Arabidopsis thaliana: one gene and its partners. The protein of the gene in region 3 interacts with the protein of the main gene of each other region in a pairwise test. Each region holds a gene or a part of one and is shown on either strand. Other genes may lie near its edges.

Region 1 (5,186 bases), on a different chromosome or scaffold from region 3:
TACTCATCTAATAGGATTAATGATTTTATAATACACCTTTAATAAAACAAAAACACAATTCCTGGTCGCTATTAAATTCTCACCAACAAAAATATAAATACACAATCAACCGCAACCAACGAACTTTCTAAATGTTAAAGATTTAACAATTACAATCAGAAGAATGGTTAAAAGAGAGAAGCAGAACTTAATGGATTAATCACAAGGAACAGATGAATCAATAACCCTTTTGTAACTAAACAAATAACCTATTGATTACTTATCAGATTTCTTGCCAAGTTTCATCCATTTGAATCCAAGTATGGCCTTCCCGATACCGCTTTTGCTTCCATCTTCCTTCTTCTTCTTCTTCTTCTTCTTCTTATCGTCTTCGTTACTTGAATTTGGAGGAGGATCAGAGTTGTAATCCCATTGATCAGCCCATGATAGTCCAGAATCCATCTTCTTCGTCTCTCTTTAAGATTTTGTGGAATGAGAAGGTTTAGAAACAAATATGAGGGTGAAAGAAAGATTTTGTTTTACTTATTATAGACAGTATTGGTTTGACACAATGTCTATAAGTTTCTTGGTTGCTTATTTTTGGGGTTTATCTGTTTTTAGTTGTGCCTCTTTGCCCTTTGGTTGGACAAAGAATCAACATCTTTCACCTTTGACTGTGAAAACCCTTCAACAAGAAAAGAACCCCTTACCTGAAACACTTGAATTTTTTTGAGTAATCAAAAACTATACGCTTCAACGGTTCAACCTAATTTCTCTTTTACATTTTATTCAACATTTTCAAAGGATAGTTGAGTAGATTAATTACTGTTGATAAAAAACGACATACAATTTTTTTTGTCACGCTTTGAAATTATATTATTACGCTTGTTTCGTTTTGTGACATTGTACTACCAACAATAATTGTTTTTTATAGTCAACCATATCATTAATCGGAGCGGTCCCTTGATTCGTTCGAGCGACCCTCTAATCAATTGGGAATACTGTGACAAATAACCATGCATTTATGCTTCAACAATTTTAGTTTTCCTTCATAAATATCACGGGATGCAAGTGACGCTAAGCATAAATAGTTCGTCTGTTTCATTGACTTTGTAATAGAAGATGAAAAAAGAAAATATATAGATATTTATCTTCCTTTTGATGTCATGACGTTTCGTGATTTTGATTTACAGTGTCAAAAAGAGAGATTACGCTAGCGAAACGTCACTACGACCAAGATTTAGTTGGAGTATTTATACTCTGATCATTCTCAATTTCTCATCATCGACATTACAAATATGCAAAATTAACAAAAAATAATAATATATACAACTCATCACCTTATATATCTAAGAGCGTTTTGTCTAACTAATAATATGTTAGCATTTTTATGCCACTATTAGTAATTTAATAATATAGTTATTGCTTAAATATATAGATTTTTAACATATTTTCTCTTAGATATATATATATATATATATATATATATATATATATATATATATATATATCAAGATATAAATAAATTCTACTAAAAGAAAAACAAAAAAACAGCTAATTTTTTGTCGGTCAACTCAAAATAATCATTAAATGAGAAAGATATATTTATCTATCGAATAAATATTATTTTATTTTTTAAAAGCGAAACACTCGTTAGATCAGGTGACCATGAAAAGAAAAATTCAGCTCTATCCAAAAAAGAAAATAAATCATGCAAATACAGGGAGAAAAAAGTACGAAATTACAAAAAAAAGCCATGTCAATGTAAAGAGAATCATTGAATCAAGAAGAACGATTGGGGGTAAATTAGTATTTAAATTGGTCTAAGCATGAAACAGCTTCCAGCCGATGGTGCCTTATGCCTCGGGCAAAAAAAAAGACCAAACACACTAAACAAAACTACCAAACAAACTAACAAACATTCCCTTCAAATTCGGAAAAGTCAGAATCTCATCACCTATTTATTACACTCTCATAAACGCTAACAAATCGTTGAATAGAATAATTAAGCAGGTAAAATCCTAAACCGTCAGAGAATATCTATCCTCCTCTTAAATATCACTCTTATCTTTATCCTCCTAAAATCTTCTTAATTGTATCTAATCTCTTTCTCAAAAACCAAACACTATCTCTCGATTATATCACAAGGAGATATGGGGAACAGTGAAATGTCAGCGAGTGAGGTTGCGGCGGCCAAGCAGAAGAACGTCGACGATTGGTTACCGATCACATCTTCCAGAAACGCTAAGTGGTGGTACTCTGCTTTTCACAATGTCACCGCCATGGTTGGTGCTGGTGTTCTTAGCTTGCCCTACGCTATGTCCAATCTCGGATGGTATACTAATTTGTTGAATCTGATAATCTTAATCTCCTTTATGTTTTAATCCATGATCTGATCTGAGTTTTTGATGTATTACAGGGGACCTGGAGTGACGATTATGGTGATGTCATGGATCATAACGTTGTACACACTGTGGCAAATGGTGGAGATGCATGAGATTGTTCCAGGGAAGAGGCTTGATAGGTATCACGAGCTAGGTCAACACGCTTTTGGTGAAAAGCTTGGCCTATGGATCGTCGTGCCGCAGCAGCTTATCGTGGAGGTCGGTGTTGACATCGTTTATATGGTCACAGGAGGAGCATCCCTCAAGAAAGTCCATCAACTAGTCTGTCCCGATTGCAAAGAGATCAGAACTACGTTTTGGATCATGATCTTTGCTTCCGTCCACTTTGTTATCTCTCACCTTCCCAATTTCAACTCTATCTCCATCATCTCACTTGCCGCGGCTGTTATGTCCTTAACGTAAATCTCTTCAACACACATATATTGGTTTTACTTTATAACTTGAACAGAAAGTTAGAATAATTAACCTAGAGCATGCCTTGTGGTTCAAGGCTAGGGATCAAAATTGTTGTATATTTTCCGGTTATTAGAAGAAAAACTTAGCATAATCCCAAAATATGTAGAAAACTAGGTTTTATTGCCTGATGATTTTTATGATCTGTACAGTTACTCAACTATTGCTTGGGCTGCATCCGTGCACAAAGGGGTACATCCAGATGTGGACTACTCTCCTAGAGCATCAACCGATGTTGGAAAAGTATTCAACTTCTTGAATGCGTTGGGAGATGTGGCTTTTGCTTATGCAGGTCACAACGTTGTGTTGGAGATTCAGGCCACAATCCCTTCGACTCCGGAGATGCCATCCAAGGTCCCAATGTGGAGAGGAGTTATTGTAGCCTACATTGTAGTCGCCATCTGTTACTTCCCTGTAGCATTCCTCGGCTATTATATCTTTGGAAACAGCGTTGATGACAACATCCTCATCACTTTGGAGAAGCCTATCTGGCTTATTGCTATGGCTAACATGTTCGTGGTTATCCATGTCATTGGAAGCTATCAGGTATTCTTCCACATTCTAGTACTTCTATATTTTTGATTGAAGTAAGAATTATTTCATGAATATTGACACCTTTGTGTGGATTCAGATATTTGCAATGCCAGTTTTTGACATGCTCGAAACCGTTTTGGTCAAAAAGATGAATTTCAATCCTTCTTTCAAGCTCCGCTTCATTACTCGTAGTCTTTACGTCGGTAAGAACCCACTCCTCATTTATACATATGTAACGTCATCCTCCTACTCCATTCATTAATTAATCTCATTTTCATCAATGTACATTGGACCGTGCAGCTTTCACGATGATTGTTGCGATATGCGTCCCGTTTTTCGGTGGACTACTCGGCTTCTTTGGAGGATTCGCCTTTGCCCCAACAACTTACTACGTATAGTACAAATAATCCCTTCATTTCTTTATTGGTTTATCCATAGATTAAAGTTGTGAATTTATATACACATATTAATTTGTAACTGCAGCTTCCATGCATTATGTGGCTCGTTCTCAAGAAACCAAAGAGGTTTGGTCTATCTTGGACAGCTAACTGGGTATGTTCTTTAGTAATCAATGGTACATAATCTATAGCTCTTGTTTTCTTGTAAAGTAACAATTTTTGTGTTTTGGTTTGTTGGTGTTGTGGATTATGAAAAAATACAGTTCTGCATCATAGTAGGAGTTCTTTTGACGATCCTTGCCCCAATTGGAGGACTCAGAACCATCATTATCAACGCCAAGACCTACAAGTTCTTCTCTTAGATGGATCACTTTTTTTTGTAACCGCGCAACCGAAAAATAAAATCACGGCATGTCTAATTTTATGTGACTGTCCGTTTAAGTAAATTTTATGTTTTCATTGTAGTTAAGACAATTATCTTTGGTTTCTTTTGATAATAAACTCTTTTTCAAATAATTAATCTCCATGATCTGGTTCTTCTAATGTTGTGATTTCGTAATTTATGCAAGAACGTACACGGGAATTTTATGACACGTCTAGATGCAATGTTACCATGGTCAGCACGACACTGCGTTTTGTTTTTCTTTATGGTTTATGGATACATTTACATTAGATGATTTGGATCTGTGGTTAGATTTAATCTTAATCACGGGGTTTTCACCTGTCAACAATATGACATGACTTGAAAACGAATTTATACTTTCCAGTACAGCATGCATGAGTGATGAGAATAATTTAATAGCTTCGTTTATTATTTTGGCTTTTCAAATATCTTGATTTATACGTTGTTTTTGTTGATACGTGAACCTGTGATTCTGGTCGTAACTCGTAACGCCACATGTACCCTTTTGTGGAGAGTTTACTTGTAAACGGCAGACCAAGAACAAAATGTCCTTTCATCAATTTCTATCTAATAGAGAAATCGGCAATTTTGGTTATAAAGCTCTTTGATGAGTCTTCTCCTTGTCCTGCCTTAATTATCCTTTATGCTAGGCTCGGCTTCATCGTTACAATTTGCTCCGATCCAGCTTTGATTAAACTCGCTCTATATGTACATGATCTTCTTGTTTCTTTGTCTATGCATGTATTTTGTCATACAATTCTTTCTTGATTAATATTAGGAGAAAAACATAGAGCTCAGTAGTATAAGTATATACAACCAGTCCACGCATTCTGCTGCTTCCTCTTACCACATTACTTTGGACACCATGGATCTCACCGCTCTTCAACCTTTTGAGACTACAGTTTATGACATATCATATGGCAAATTAGCTTTATCGTGCCGTATTGCTAGACCTCTAAGTCATTACGAGACTTTTGTAGTGGTGCTTATACAACAAGCAAGCCATCTTACTAA
Region 2 (3,798 bases), on a different chromosome or scaffold from region 3:
CCCTCTATTTTAGGCTCTTTGTGCTCATCTCTATTTTCTTTCTTTGATCAAAATTATTATACCACAAGACTTTTTTTTGTGCTTAAATTTTAGTCGTCATATACGACAATTTTTTATATACGAAGTTTATTATTATTAACATCAATTGATTATTCATATATTTTTAATCAAGTGGCCTTTTTAATAACTCTCTATTCTTTTGACGTAAGAACAAATAGTAACTTTTATTTGTAGAATATTCATTCTAAGAAATTAATACGTAAATACATATATTTCTCACCCGTGAAACACCACCAGTCGAGTAACGTGATTGAAGATATGTTTAAAAAAAAAAAAAACATGATTGAAGATATGAGAGAGCAAGAGTCAGTGAACTATTTTGGCCGCACACATGTGACACATATATATATGTGTATTATTCCTTTTGGATTTACTACATTCATTCTGATTTCTGAACCATTAGTAACCCTTGAAAAGTAAAAGCTGATAACGTTTTAGGATTTGCAAATTTGAAAAAAGATGACCCTACATTATTTCCAACTGCAACATGCACGTTCCTGTTATGTTAAAAGATATTATTATAGTATATATATTTTGAAACATAAAATGATTGATGTAACTGATCCAACGGCTAATTCCTCTTACTAGTTAGTGAATTAGCCACCTAATAAAGATTACATGAATCATTAAATAACAAATATAATAACTATACAACAAATAATTCATATTGTCGTACATTCAACAACCGAGGTACTCCAAATTAAAAAAGAAGTCAAGCACACTCATATATATTTTAATTTTTAACTGATAACCTTGAAAGAAAAAGAAAAAGGATATGGAATAGAATGGTAAAATCAATCAATCTGCCATGGTTATGAATCAAAAACCATAGAAAAATCGTTATTTACTGTTTAGTATTATAAATAGTGTCAAGTTAAAAAGTTTTTAATATTGTAAAATACACTCTACCTAAACAAAACAGCATATGTAAGATAACATCATCACGATAAATTGTTTTATTCTGACACCACATGTGAGATAGATAGGAAAATCTTTAGTATTTAAAAAATCAAAATGTTGGCAGATTAACCGATAATCACGCAGATTAACACCTACTGAGATAGCCGTTAAATAAATTAATCGACATAGCAGAAACAAATAATTGAGTATCAATAAAAAAAAGGAATAATAGAGAGAGAGAGAGACTGACTAATGAGTCACATATGACGAATGAGTCCAGTTTGGCTGCCAGTCTGTCAGCCCCTACCATTACACCACCTCTAAAGATTTGTATTTTATCATAATCCAACCAAACAATGCTTACAAAAAAAAGATAATCACATCACATCACATGGCCTTCTTCGTCGCTGTAACGTTTAATTAAACTAGCCGCCAATTTCTTTTAAAGATTTTTTTGTTTTGTTTTTGGGCTTATGTTTAAACCATATAATCCATAACTTCATTTCTATTGCTATTTTTGAATTTACCCTATAAAGCTACCAATATTGAATTTTTGTAATTCATTTAAGTTTATTACATAAATAATTTATTTACTTATATGATTATAATTTTTTTTATCGGCTATATGATTGTAATTTAGATCAGTACCTAATCAAGTTTCTATCTTTTTCTATCCGTTGACAGAAAAAAGAAAACAATTTTCTATCAACAATTCACAAATCAAATTGGATTAGAGATACAACAACTTTAGTCAAAATTCTAACACAACAATTCATACTTTTGATCATTCAAACATGATTTTATTTTTTATTTATCTAGAAACATAGTAATGTCAATTTTGACAATTATTCATTCAAAAAAAAATGTCAATTTTGACAAGAAAACTAGGAAAAAAAAGAACAATAGAGGAATGGTCAAAAAAGAATAAAAGAAAATTCGAGGAAAATCATGCTTCTTAGAAGTTTTTTGTTTAATTAGCTTGACTAGTAAATAGATTTGACCGGATAAATAACCGGTTGAAACCGGTAACCTTTAACCGGTCTTCATACTATAAGAACACCTTAAACAAGTCGTCTCCTTCCACTTCTTGCTTTATTCCTCTCATACCGTTTTCTCTCTCTCCTCCGTCGTCTCTGCAGAATCACTCTCTCGCCGGAGTTTTTCACCTGCAGAGCTCTCGATTTTTTCTCTCGAGCATCATCATTTTCGTCGGATCAATCACCAAGAGATGGCGTCGAGAAACTCCGTCACCGGATTCGCGTTGTTCAGTTTTGTATTCGCCGTCATCTTATCTCTCGCCGGCGCTCAATCCCTGGCTCCAGCTCCTGCTCCCACCAGCGATGGTAAGCCTCTCTACTTCTCTCTCTCTCTTCTTCCACGATATTCGCATTTCCAGATCTGAATCGAGACTCTCTCCGCGTGAAATCTGGAAACAGTCGAATTGGATTACGAATTCGTTTCTCTCTGACATTTGAAAATGGTGTGTTTTGGAAATGGCAGGAACATCGATAGATCAAGGGATAGCGTATTTGCTAATGGTGGTGGCGTTAGTGCTGACTTACCTAATTCATCCTCTTGATGCTTCTTCTTCCTACTCCTTCTTCTAATCTCTCTCTCTCTTTCTTCTGTTTTTTTTTATTTCTTTGCAACTTCTTATTAGTTTCTTCAATTTGCCTTTTTTCTTCTTCTTGTGGATAAAATTTTCAAGAGTTAATTTCATCATCATGTTCTCGATTATGATTTCTGGAGATTGATTGATTGATGATAATCTCTACTGTTTGTTCTTTTTTGTTTATTCTCTTCCATATTAAATTTATTCTTCTTCCCTTATAATATTTGTGTAAATGTCATCATTTAGCTTAAATTACCAGATATTTGACAATTACCAACTTTATTGGCCTCACAAAAGAAATCTCTGACCAGTTCAGAAGCAGGATATGAAAGCCAGAAAATTTGCTCAACTCTTTTGAATTCGATTCTCAAAGTCTTATCTTCAGATTACAATTTCTCATGAAAAAGTTTATAAATCACGGAATTGTATATATGCCATTTCACATGTCATTTATAAATCACACCCTTGATCAGCATGCATGGAGTTAATTTCTTGCCATAAGAATCTCGTGTTAATTTACTTGTTCTTACAAAAAATATTAAAACGAAAAACAAATGCAACAACTTGCATAAATAATATTCCTTCTTGACAAAAAAAAATCAAGTTTTGCCGTAAGCACCTAATACGGTAACCTTTATTGGATTAGACGCGCAAGTGTGTTCTTTTTAGCTTCGCATCAAAACAAAATCTGTCTAGTATAAGTGTTACTGTTGGTGGAAGTTGTGCAGTCCGTACTTGACCACTTCGTAAAACGATACCACAATGGCTACAGATGGTCCTGCTCGTCCCACTCTAGCCCCTGCTCCACTAAACATCCCTCTCATCCCTCCGTCCCTATACCAAAAACCCGACCGGGATGGTTAAGTTTGGAAACACGAAAATTGTCTAATGGATCTCTAACTCATACCTCCAAATCTCTGCCAAGGTTTGTCTTGTGGTCATTGTCATGGCTCTATCTGTGTTCTTCTGCATAATCCAAACAAATTTAACTGTTACTTGGTTTAAGATCCAAAACTTACTTAATGCAAGCTGGCGATGAATTCTAGTTTGTAGAGCAACACAGTGGAATTATGAAAGATGAAGTGAAAAAGGTATGTTTACCTCTATTTGACGCCTAGTCTTTGCAACATCTAGAGGGCAAGTAGCTGCTGCAGCAACTGCACCCGCAACAAAACCAGCAGCGAAGTTTGCACCTATTATACTGCCTGCCCTTGGTTCTTCACCCA
Region 3 (5,132 bases):
AATTTTTGTAAATTGGTTAAAATCTACAAATAATCTAATTTATGAGTTTTTTTGCTGGTTAATGGAATACTGGAATAAATAGAAGAAATTAGAAGAGATGACAAAAATGGAGAAAATGGCTTCTCTGTCAGAGCTTCGTTTCCTCGTAACGATGCATCTGTAACCTAAACACATAATTCTATTTTTCTTTTTGTTTAATTTAGTTTGTTTCCCTGTCCGTTTTTCCATTTTTAAATTTGATTTTCCACAAATCTAATTTTTGCTGAATTAATGTAATGTTGCTCTATGGGATTAATCAAACAAGCATTGGACTACATATATTGACATGTTTTAAATGAGAACTGTAAATATGAACTAATTCCAATGACAAATCTTTTTCAAGCTGTGATGATGGAAACAAGTGATTGCTTCCAATGCAAGAAACTATATTGCCGAAATATAGTTTGAGTGTTTTTGGTAGAATTCAAGATTGATGTTGTTTATAGAAGCAAGCACGAGTGGCTTGGGAAGACATTGACCCGTTATTTTCTAGAAAAAGATGTGAGACACTGTTTTCGTCTGCCTTTGTCTCTTCTGGACACGAAAACCATATCAAATCACACAAGGGTGTACCAGACTTTATCGAGTGAGATTGAAGAGATCACGCCCTTGGTTGGCTTGGGATCATCTTTCTTAACTCTTTAAGTATAGATTGTATTTTTGACGTAATTTGAAAGAAGAAATGTGGCAATTTCTTACACTTTTTCTAAAGGGTATTTGTTTCATTAGGTATAATTTCTTCGTGCAAAAATAGAAAACTTTGTCTGTTAGTGTTAGGTTATTATAATGATGAAACACATTCACAAGACTTAAATGTATGGGTGACAACTAGTATGGATTCAGTCATCTCATGGAGCAAGTTCTCAACAGTGCAAACCATTAATCCGAGTTGGAATATGTTTGCTGATGGGATGAGTTTCTTGGTCGGCGAGCATAACAAAGTTGTATTGTGTTACCCTAACCGGACCCCCAACGAAATCTTACACATTGGGGAAGAAATTTATCACATACAACATTTGGATGATCATGATAGAGATTCTACCTCAAGATCATCTTTTCTTCTGAATTATGTTCCAAGTTTAGCTCGAATAAAGATTAGTATGAATCAATATTAGACAAGAAAGTATTCAGACAAGAGTGCGGTTGAGATTACACCGATTAAACACAAAACTGATGCAAAATCTGCAAACTTATTCGAAGAGCCAGAGAAGAAGTAGATCTTGTGGCTACTGCTCTCTCCTCTGAAGCCTCTAACAATCATGGCCTGCATGCACATAAATTACAAACTTCTTCAACAGAGAATTCTTATTTGATTCTCAAATCAATGAGATGATAATAAGTGAAATCTATTTGACCTGTGATATTTGTTCGGCATGACGAAATATATTCTTGAAGATGCGGCGTATGAATGACGCGAAAACTACAAAAAGCGATCACTTGTAAGATGAGATGTATATAGAAAGAGAGAAGAAACTTTTAGATTCTTACTATCAAGTGTCTCCAGAACAGTAAGCTGCTGCCAGTTTACTCTTCGCGATACAATTCCCAGTGAAACACTTCGGACCTACAATGTAACATATGCACAACGTACCATTATGTGGTTTAGGACTTGGAATAACTAGGCTGATTGATAATATTAAAGCGAATAAGTGAACAGTCGTTACCTCATCGAAAACCAAATTAATGAATCTCAGTGAAAGCAGTAGCGTGAGGATAATTTCACTGACTGGAACACCAATATATGTCAATGGGAACAAGAACCAACGTAGAGCTAGTGCAAGTTGCTCTGGTGTTGTTGTTGCAAGGCAAATACTAGCACTTTGGAAGATCTGTGACCAAAAACCAAATGTTCCATTAAGTGATCTAATCAAGAAAGGAAATAGGTAAACCGCGGAAGTCGAAAAACCGACTTACAATAAAGGTTAAGCATGCGGCTGTGCTTCCAACAGACAAACCTTTCCTTGTGAATTGCAAAGGACCAAGCTTCAGTAACATGTACGAATAACCGCTTAAAGACATGGGAAGATTAGGCAAGCTTGTGATTGAAGATGGTGGTGTTCTTGATTGAAGCATTGGAGGTGCACCATCTGAACCTAGCCCCAATGTTATGAAGAGAATACCCGAAAGAAGCGACACTCTCGCCAATTGATCCTTTACAGAAAAAGTTAGGAAACTCAGCAGAGCAGATAGATCACATATAGAAACAGAGTTGTGACAGAGAAACAGAACTCACTATCCAAACTTGTCTTGGGAGAACAAGGATTGACAAAAGAGCTGTGCATAGAACAAGTCCTAAACGCACAACTAGATTTGCTCTTGCTGGAAGAACTACTAGAGTTAATAGCCATACCTACACATATATACAAATACCAAAATTCAAGCTTTAACAAAAAAAAAAAGACTCAAACTTTTTAACAAAATTGGATTAGAAATTTGATAAGAATCAAGAATTCAATATACCAATTTGATTCTGGGATCCACCGAGTGGAGAAATGTCACAGGAGACGATATGAATTGTCCGATGGGACTTCCGGTGGCGCTTGAAATCAATCTGAAGACGTTTTCGGCTCCAAGTCCTGGAATTGGTAACCGGTTCACCCAATTACCGGTTTTACCGTCTCCGTCGACGGTGGCTCTGACAATGAAAACCCTTTTCGCGGCGAGAGAGGAGGAAGGAGTCTCATTAAGCCGGAGCGGGAAGAGAAGCTTAGGGTTTGTAAAGTTCCGGTTAGGAATTGGAGATGTGAGATGACGAATTGGGTGTTTGGGGATTAGGGTTACGGTGAGGGAGACTGTTGGATTGGCAAGATTGGAGTGATTCATGAGTTTTCAATTTCGGATTGGATCAGACATATGCCCTAGAGCGGGAAATTCTGTACTTGGTAGAGAGAGAGATACTGTAAACTGTCAAGTGTTAAACTGTTGTACTTGTTGGTTTTGTCGGACGTTGACTGTGGTTCTCAACTTCTCATAATAACAAAAGTCAAAGTATACCAAAATTTGGATTTCGGTTCTTGTTCGAATTTGATGTATATATAGACTCGTTTTGGATTTTCTCACACTCTTTTTGTATAAATCTTTTCTCGTAGAGTCATAGCCACACCAAAACCAAGATTAAGTAATTTGATACAATACAGCATATGAAAATGTAACTTAGCTTTTAAGATAGATAACATATTACTGCCTAGGAGCATTTTTGACAATTTTTGAGGTGATGGAAAAAGTTGGCTCGAGAGCTTTTTGAATATTCCAGGCGGTTCGGCCTAAGCTGCCCGTTGTTTCCAGTATTATTCCGGTGGTTTTTCCGGCTTTCTCTCCAAAACTTTGGTGCGGTCATCACAAAAATGTGAATATGTGTTACACTCAACTCAATAAATGTATAAAATTGTAAAATTCGATGGTCATGTAAACATGTTATATAACTCATCTAAACAATCCTAACAAATAAAAATGATAACCTATCTCTAAAAATCATTAGCTACCCCTCAAAACTATTTGGTAATTAATTATTAGATTGTATGCACGCTATACAATAATTCTACCAACTTCGATTTTATTTTCTACCGATATAATCATTCTTTTGATTCAAATACCGGTGTGTTACTATAGAAACATAATTCATTCTCAAAATTGAGGATCACAAAGTGAGCTTTTTACCTCTTACTCACAAGTCTAGTAGCAGCCATGGATGTGGCATAATGAGTTTGTATTTCTGCCGCTTCAGCAGCACCAATTATATTATCTATTGACCACATCAAAGTGTTTATCTGTTTTATTTAAATTTTGATCTCAAAAACTTCAAAATAAATGAATATGAGTATAGATTGACAATTAATGGAGCTATTCTATGTAACTTACGAAAAGAATCAAGTGATGCCAAGATAACCTCTCCTGGAGCAGTGGATAACAATGCCTTCCCTAACTTCGACTTAACCACCGGAGCTATCATCGAACTGCTCACCAAATCTCCACCTTCTAAGGCCGCCATTCCTATAGCCTCGCTCACCTTCCACAGCTTCTCCGCTCTATGTATATGTTACATCCAACAAAATAACCAAGATTTGGTTCATTATAAGAAGGAACAAGAACCAAGATTTTATTGTTTGGTATAATATATACTATTTTGTGGGATAGAGATTAAAATATGAATACCTTTGAAGATTTTTGTTGAGTTTATTCTTCTTATTAGTTTCATTGTTGCCACCTCCATCAATTTGTGATATGTCACCACTTCTTTCCTCATCCTCTTCAGCAATCGTTCCTTCCTCGTGAATCTGTTTTTGTTGTAAGAAAATAAAACGATATTAATAATAAAAAATACTACAATATGTGCGTCTTACATCTCCATGTTCATATAAAAGTTTTTAAAAATCCAACACAAAAATAAGATGATCTATACTAGTAAATAAAACACATAAGTCGTTCCACAAGTTGGGTTTGAATTGGAAGTTCATGATTCTTTACTACAACAAATATTTCGATTCAAATCACAATCATCTATTAACACTCATAAGCATCATGAGAGGGACTTATATGTATGAGACCTTCTTAGAGTAAGAATTGCTACAAGTGAAGATTCCCTTGATGATATGCCCTGTTCCTACCGCGATGGCCTTGGCTACACCATTTTTGTAGTCTTCAGCCTTCGGTGCAAACTTTTTCCAATCAATTTCATTGTTGTTCTTACCTGAAGTACTTGAAGATTTCTCCCCCATGATATCTCCAAGAAACTCAGGGTTTTCCATGATTTCTCCGTCTTCCCCTAAGAAACTCAAGGCTAGCTCCAACAGTTCGGATTTATCGACGATTTGGACTCCGTAATCGGGATTCTCCAACAAAACTTCTTCGTTCACCGCTTGGGCAGATTGGTTTTCTTGGGTTGATGTGGACATTGTGTCTTCTTTCTTAGTACAGTAGTACTTTTAAGTTTGGTTTATATGTGAGGCTCGTTCCTATATAATGTTGGATGATCGAAGGTAATGACGTAAACACTTACCATTTGATCATATTAATAACCAACAAAAATGTAAGACCATAAAATATGATCATATAGCTTGGTAGTGAAGAATAAGTAAAATTTTCTAGTTGTATAA
Region 4 (7,329 bases), on a different chromosome or scaffold from region 3:
CAACTTTCTATTTTCATGTTATTGGTTTAAAGGTCTAATAGAATCTTTAATGTTGTAATGTGTCTTAGACTTAAATGAATTCATTACTTGAAGACATGTATTCCACGCTGAAAACACAATTCTTTTGAATATAGTTTTATGATATAATCATGAAAACCTATATTTAGATTTGCTTAGGACTCTAAATATATCACAATGGATACGATCTTGAAATCCCACTTATTTCATCTAACTCCCCAAAAAAAGAAAAAAAAGATGAATTTGTTATGCACAACTGGATTATAAAAAATCGACTTTTATATCAAAAACCTGAATTCAATCTAACAGTATATACTACAAAAAAATGATCAAATGTTTATATATGTAGGTGCAAATATTTTCCTATAACATACTTGAGATAGTAACTTAAGAAATGATTAATAATTATGTTTCTTTCAGCAGGGTCAAAAATGTATTCCCACATTTAACATGCTTTAGTAAGTAATTATGGTATACTTTATAAGAGGATATTATATAAATATCTCTTAGTATAACCATATGAAGTCGGTAGATATGATCCTCTCAAATACAAAATAGAAAAAGTGAGCTTTCTAAGAGTTGGAGTTATCTATCAAACTCCATATACATTTTTCGTTATTCGATCATGACCATTAAAATGCATATGTTTGATAGTGACCCGCACCACACAGCTCAGCATATTGAGACAGATTAGTAAAAGCAGTCCAAACCTTAGGCACCCAGTCCACGGTTCATATCATCTGACCATTGAGAATGGTGAAGAGAGATAAGATGATCGAACGGTGTACAATAATATGACCATAAAATCGAACGGTGATACGGTATAGGATCCCACGTAAAGGTCCAAACAAAAAAAAATTAATAAAGAAGAAAAGACAAAGAGGGTTTGCGTAGAAATTTGATGGCTCGCGCATGCGACAGTGTTAGGCACTTGCATTTGCCTAAAAGGCGATAAAAGCCTACCTCATCTTATCGTATTTCTCTTTCTGTTTCTGTCTTCACTCACCGATTTTTATGTTTGTGTTCAATTTGAATTTTACAAGTTTGGTTGGACTTAATCTTTCCTTTAACATAAACATTCAATGATAATTTTATTATTAATGTTCATTTCTTGTGAAGATTTTCATTGTTTCTATATATAATATATATTTTACATTGAGAAAAAAAAATGATGCGAATTGTTTTGAAGTTGAAGTGGTTGATTAATATTTTTTTCTACAATAAATCAATGAAAATTTAGAATTGAAAAATATCTAGACATGGAATTTCTCAACTCAACATCTAGATAAACATATGTACCACACATTCGAGCAATCGTATAAAATTATATACGAATAAATAGAATTAGTTTCTTTCTCGGAAATTCTGTTAATATTTTTAGGAGGATTAAGTGGGTTCGAAATTTAATCACTTCCTGCACAAATTCATCTCAATGTATTAATTGGTGATATGTCATTTTTTTATTTTATTTTTTGGTATGAGCTTCCAAAGTTTTAAGGCCAGCTCTATATGTGTACTATTGTTTCTAACTTTATTATATTAAATTTTGGTGATATGTGTTTCTTTGTTTGATTGCAACCCAAAATAGTTTAAGGTTCATCTTAGAGTGCGATGACTTTTTGTGCAAAAATATTAGATCATGTTGGTATGTACGTTTTGAGTTTTATTTATTTGTTTACCAATTGAACGACTCTCAACAAGCAATTGTATGCCAAGATGACATATTGGACGTTTCAAGTGTGTGAATTGTATAAAGCAGTAAATAAAATCTACTCTTATTAACTAGTTTGAAAGAGAGTTTTAACTTCGAAGAATCTATCGCCATGAGTCAAAATCGTATAAATGTGACAAATGTTTATCTCTATCAATAATAGTAAAAATTTTAAAAGGTTCTATATAAATTTTAAGATTTTGTCAGGATCATTAAAGTGTAGAACTAAGTCAACTGATTGATTAATAGAAAAAATCGATACAATCTCACTTCCTTTAAGAAAATAAAAATAAAATATGCTTTAGAGAAAATAAAATCTCGCTTATTTATGAGATATCATATCATTTTTAGGTAAAAAAGATTAGATGTCCTTTTGAGACACATCATACCATATATATGACCGACAACACACATAAAACCGCGTGAACAAAAAATATCATCCATCAACCCCTTACGATGCAAATGTACTGTAAAAGATGGTTCATTAATTTAACATCGTATTTTAACGTTACAATTGTATGGAACATGGAAGGTTCACAATACGTGGAACAAAACAATAATGTTACGTACGGTGTAAGAAAAACAAAAAAAACATAGCACTAAAATAGTTTTCTTTTAATTTTCCTCTTCAAACTTCTCACGTGGAGGCTACTAGTGGCGAACGTCATTCAAATTTACCCACACCCACCATATATTATCTACTCACTCCCTTATATATACACACTTCCACAAATAATTCACTACACCCAAAAAAGCTTCTAACAAAGAGAAAGTGTCTGTATGTTGTGCCCACTCTCTACATTTATCAATCACTTCATGTGTGTTACCTTGATTGCAAAAAAGTGAGAATATATTCTCACAACATTAAATCCACCCCGAAATCGAAGTGAGTATATCACGAGTGTAGTAATATCTTAGAGATGGTTTTGGAGGATAGAAAGGACGGTTCTTCTTTGCCGGGACGATCCGGTAGTTTCTCTAAATCGTCACCGTCGGAGTTGGATGTTGTTGATCCCTACAAGCGGATAAGTTCGCCGGGATCTATATTGGATGCTGAGAAGGTAGAGAAAAAGCCTGGAGGATGGAGAGCCGTCTCGTTCATTTTAGGTATTTTAATTTTATTTTTAGGCTTCGTGTACATAATTTAGTTTACCTAATCCTTGACCTTTCCTCAGTTATTGGCTAATATTTTTTTGTTAATTTCCTTAATTGGATATATAGTTCTAGAAACCAGTTAATATATTATCATTGGGAGATGTAACGGGCCGTTGCAAGATCACGTTCTGCCTAAATCATTGCACATAATAGTCAGAACAAAAGAAATGAGCGCATAATCTTTTCAGCTCGATCAAAAATTATATTATATATTACTCTCGTAACCGTCGGTCCAACATGTTTGACACTCGTCTAGCTGACGACTTTATAACTGAAATGGAATAAAAATTTGTCATCATAAGTGCTCTTTTAGCCAAAATGTTAACTTTCATTTTAAATTATTTTATACTTTTAAATTTTTATAATATTTTATTTCTCTCTATTTAATGGAATATGATTAATTTTGTTAGTGATGATAATTACTAGATAAAATGGAGTATAATTGATATTCTTCAATAGAGGGATTATTTGTCGATTTATTTGCTGATAATATTTTGTAATAAAATGGGTTGAATAGGAAATGAGACGCTGGAGAGACTGGGATCGATAGGATTGTTGGCAAACTTCATGGTTTATCTAACCAAAGTGTTTCACTTAGAACAAGTCGACGCTGCAAATGTCATCAACATTTGGTCAGGTTTCACCAATCTCACTCCTCTCGTCGGAGCGTATATCTCAGACACTTATGTTGGCCGCTTCAAGACCATCGCTTTCGCCTCATTCGCCACTCTCCTCGTACGTATAATATTTTTTTATTTAACTTATTGAAAATTTTATATAATCTTTTTAAAAAACTAAAATAAAAATAAATAATCTAATGTGTCTACAAATACACAACATTTACGTACGTAGTAGTATTTACTTTATATGTTCCTAACACCTCAAATCCGCAACTATTCGCGGCCTACTGCCAGCATGGGTCAGTGCTTTAGCGTCCACTGTTCGAATAGTTGCATCCAACAAAAAACATAACAACTCTAAATAGAAAGTTCTATATTACTACTCAATTTACGTGTTTTTTTGTGTGTGTGGCGACGATACATGATACTTGGCACATAATTTCACCCCGCACGTGGACATGATAAGAAAATACGTATAGACAAATTAAATTAAGTATATATATATGTAAATGACAAAGTATTAACACTTTATATATTATTTTATACCTATTATGTTACTCTCTTTTTTTCTATATCAAAAGCTATTAAATTACTTTTGTATCGTACGAAAACGCATGAACTTATTGAGGGACCACGCTATCGAGGACGATAAGGTCGGTCAATAATGTGAATCATAAGAACAAAAGCATTAGTTAGTACACTTATTCTTGTCGGTATTTACCTTGAAAATTTATATAACATCCAAAAAAAATGGTAAGAAAATACTTATCTCACGTAAACATCTTTTGTTCATTGATGAAACATTTTCCAATAAAGGAGTTACGTATTAGAACGTGTTCTGTTTAAGAGATAAAGAGATGTGCGTAGAAAAGGAAGAGATACGCAAGTGGTCAATATAGATTATTGACAATGAGATTGTCCAATAATTGAGTGTTTGAGTTTCTTGATGATTTAGCTAGCTAGTTGGGTTTTAGATTTGGTCAGTATCACAGTGACGTTACGTATATAATAATAGTTACTTTTCTAGTGTCTGTTTCATTCACAATTATAGAATTATGATCGCATCCAACTTGTTAATTTCTCTTGCACTTTTTTGTCTTTTTCGTAATTAGTTAAACGTTGAACTTAAACTGTTACAAATGCTCATATTACTATATTAGGGTTACAACAGAAATAAATGATATTAGGTTCTACGTCACTGTCACTTTCACCTAATCAAGGTAACATCACTTTTCAATCATATGAAGTCAAACCTAATTAAGACTATTGTAAACTTTATTAATTGTTTGTATTTGTTCGCATAACTTCAATCTATATATCCCACACTACTGTTTGCTTTCTTCAATATTAATTAACAATCATTCAGTTTCAAGTTATATATTATAGAATATCTAATAATGAAGAATCGGTTTCAAAATTAATAATGACTGATTATAATTACATTGACAACATGCAGGGACTAATAACAATTACACTCACAGCATCGTTTCCTCAACTCCACCCAGCATCATGCAACAGCCAGGACCCACTCAGTTGCGGCGGTCCGAATAAGCTCCAGATCGGAGTTTTGCTATTGGGACTCTGTTTCCTCTCCGTAGGGAGTGGAGGAATACGACCTTGTAGCATCCCTTTTGGGGTTGATCAGTTTGACCAACGAACTGAGGAAGGGGTTAAAGGAGTGGCCAGTTTCTTCAACTGGTATTACATGACTTTCACTGTGGTTCTGATCATTACACAGACCGTAGTTGTGTATATCCAGGATCAAGTCAGTTGGATTATCGGTTTTAGTATCCCTACCGGACTCATGGCTCTTGCGGTTGTTATGTTTTTTGCCGGAATGAAGCGTTATGTCTACGTTAAACCAGAAGGAAGTATATTCTCTGGGATCGCTCAAGTTATCGTGGCAGCTCGTAAGAAGCGAAAGCTGAAACTTCCGGCGGAAGATGACGGCACTGTCACCTATTACGACCCAGCCATCAAGTCTAGCGTGTTATCCAAGTTACACCGCAGTAACCAATTCAGGTACTTAATATATGATTTTTGTTTTTATTTTTTGCTTATCACTTTCAAGGTGGTTTTAAGACAACACTGATTACATGATTTTGTATTAACCTATAGTCTAACTGAAATGGCATAAAATTAGGTGTCTTGACAAAGCCGCGGTGGTTATAGAAGGTGACCTAACACCCGAGGGACCTCCCGCAGACAAGTGGCGGTTATGCAGCGTCCAAGAAGTGGAAGAAGTGAAGTGTTTGATCCGAATTGTTCCTATCTGGTCGGCCGGAATAATCTCACTCGCGGCCATGACAACACAAGGCACTTTCACGGTCTCTCAAGCTTTGAAAATGGATCGAAACTTAGGTCCTAAATTCGAGATTCCGGCTGGTTCACTCTCCGTCATCTCTCTCCTCACAATCGGCATCTTTCTTCCCTTCTACGACCGCGTTTTTGTACCATTCATGCGGCGAATCACCGGCCATAAATCCGGAATCACACTCCTCCAAAGGATAGGAACAGGGATCGTTTTCGCGATCTTTTCTATGATCGTTGCGGGCATTGTGGAGCGTATGAGACGCATACGCTCCATCAATGCCGGAGATCCAACGGGAATGACTCCAATGTCGGTGTTTTGGCTTTCGCCGCAGCTAATTCTCATGGGACTATGTGAAGCATTCAATATCATCGGACAAATTGAGTTCTTCAACAGTCAGTTTCCAGAGCACATGAGAAGTATCGCTAACTCTCTCTTCTCTTTATCGTTCGCCGGTTCGAGCTACCTTAGTAGTTTCCTTGTGACTGTCGTTCATAAATTCTCCGGTGGGCATGATCGTCCGGATTGGCTAAACAAGAATCTCAACGCGGGAAAATTGGATTACTTCTATTATCTGATTGCGGTTTTGGGTGTGGTTAATCTGGTTTACTTTTGGTATTGTGCTCGGGGATACCGGTACAAGGTCGGTTTACCGATTGAAGACTTTGAGGAGGACAAGTCCTCCGATGATGTTGAGATGACTTCGAAGAAATCGATGAAATGATTTAATAGACTATCCTTAGGGACAACAAGAAGATTGTCGATGTTGTTTGAATAATTACTATGACAATGTATGTATCATAATATGTAAGAACTAGAATATTTAATAAAATTTTACCTTTCATTATGTAGAAGTGTTAGATATAGTTCACAGTTTTGTCTTATTTTATAACTTTGTCATCATACTCTCTGCCTGGAATCAGAAAACCATCTCTAACAAGTATATTTAAAATCATAAAAGTAATCTAGTTAGATGGATTGCATTTGGAACTATATCATATACACTATGTTATGACTTGATAGAAATATAAACAGTATAGTTTTAATTGATCATTTCTATGGAGGATCACGTTATTAGGCATAGTTTCATCCTTTATCGATTACGGACGGTAAATGAGTACAACCCAACTAATATGTTGTAAAGAAAAGCTACTACTGCTATTACTGTTAATATTAATATTAGACTTCTTGGGTACATAAAAAAAAAAAAAATATATATATATATATATATCATATTAGACTTCTAGAACACCAAGTCCAAAACATATTTGGCATGAAGCAAAAATATCTACTGCTTTATTTTGTGTCTACCTCTTTGCCACATGCTGTATATTCCATCATTCATTTAACCTACAATTGAATTCCGTTTTAACGTTTATTCACTCAATTAATATATTGGGGTTTGACAAAAATAAATAACTAGTATATAGGTTTGTATGCTTTTTTACTGTTAGCTAATAAATAGAAAATCCAAAAGAAGCTTTCATACAAAATCAACTAAATTAAAATGAAAA

Evidence for each region.
Region 1: the proteins of ABCI12 (region 3) and LHT2 interact in a protein complementation assay, tested with the Arabidopsis thaliana proteins (one large-scale study listed by BioGRID).
Region 2: the proteins of ABCI12 (region 3) and AGP16 interact in a protein complementation assay, tested with the Arabidopsis thaliana proteins (one large-scale study listed by BioGRID).
Region 4: the proteins of ABCI12 (region 3) and NRT1.7 interact in a protein complementation assay, tested with the Arabidopsis thaliana proteins (one large-scale study listed by BioGRID).

The regions. Positions count from the first base shown.
Region 1 is NC_003070.9:8,650,508-8,655,693, reverse strand, and holds LHT2 (lysine histidine transporter 2), read left to right. Parts: upstream 1-1,778; 5' UTR 1,779-2,132; coding exon 2,133-2,314; intron 2,315-2,398; coding exon 2,399-2,782; intron 2,783-2,989; coding exon 2,990-3,383; intron 3,384-3,468; coding exon 3,469-3,574; intron 3,575-3,671; coding exon 3,672-3,763; intron 3,764-3,854; coding exon 3,855-3,923; intron 3,924-4,032; coding exon 4,033-4,131; 3' UTR 4,132-4,287; downstream 4,288-5,186. Other genes in the region: AT1G24405 (uncharacterized protein), read right to left, coding at 256-441. UniProt on the Arabidopsis thaliana protein: Amino acid-proton symporter. Transporter with a broad specificity for neutral and acidic amino acids. Basic amino acids are only marginally transported.
Region 2 is NC_003071.7:19,017,499-19,021,296, reverse strand, and holds AGP16 (arabinogalactan protein 16), read left to right. Parts: upstream 1-1,932; 5' UTR 1,933-2,188; coding exon 2,189-2,303; coding exon of another isoform or gene 2,304-2,362; exon of another isoform or gene 2,363-2,460; coding exon 2,461-2,567; 3' UTR 2,568-3,033; downstream 3,034-3,798. Other genes in the region: AT2G46320 (Mitochondrial substrate carrier family protein), read right to left, coding at 3,277-3,406, 3,480-3,538, 3,674-3,798. UniProt on the Arabidopsis thaliana protein: Proteoglycan that seems to be implicated in diverse developmental roles such as differentiation, cell-cell recognition, embryogenesis and programmed cell death.
Region 3 is NC_003074.8:7,600,859-7,605,990, forward strand, and holds ABCI12 (cobalt ion transmembrane transporter), read right to left. Parts: upstream 3,042-5,132; 5' UTR 2,863-3,041; coding exon 2,500-2,862; intron 2,390-2,499; coding exon 2,273-2,389; intron 2,191-2,272; coding exon 1,954-2,190; intron 1,869-1,953; coding exon 1,704-1,868; intron 1,604-1,703; coding exon 1,528-1,603; intron 1,460-1,527; coding exon 1,395-1,459; intron 1,304-1,394; coding exon 1,151-1,303; 3' UTR 964-1,150; downstream 1-963. Other genes in the region: AT3G21590 (Senescence/dehydration-associated protein-like protein), read right to left, coding at 3,693-3,781, 3,898-4,064, 4,192-4,313, 4,584-4,657, 4,727-4,931.
Region 4 is NC_003070.9:26,313,559-26,320,887, forward strand, and holds NRT1.7 (nitrate transporter 1.7), read left to right. Parts: upstream 1-2,228; 5' UTR 2,229-2,649; coding exon 2,650-2,836; intron 2,837-3,401; coding exon 3,402-3,619; intron 3,620-4,960; coding exon 4,961-5,526; intron 5,527-5,647; coding exon 5,648-6,539; 3' UTR 6,540-6,675; downstream 6,676-7,329. UniProt on the Arabidopsis thaliana protein: Low-affinity proton-dependent nitrate transporter. Not involved in dipeptides transport, but has a weak glucosinolate transport activity. Involved in phloem loading and nitrate remobilization from the older leaves to other tissues.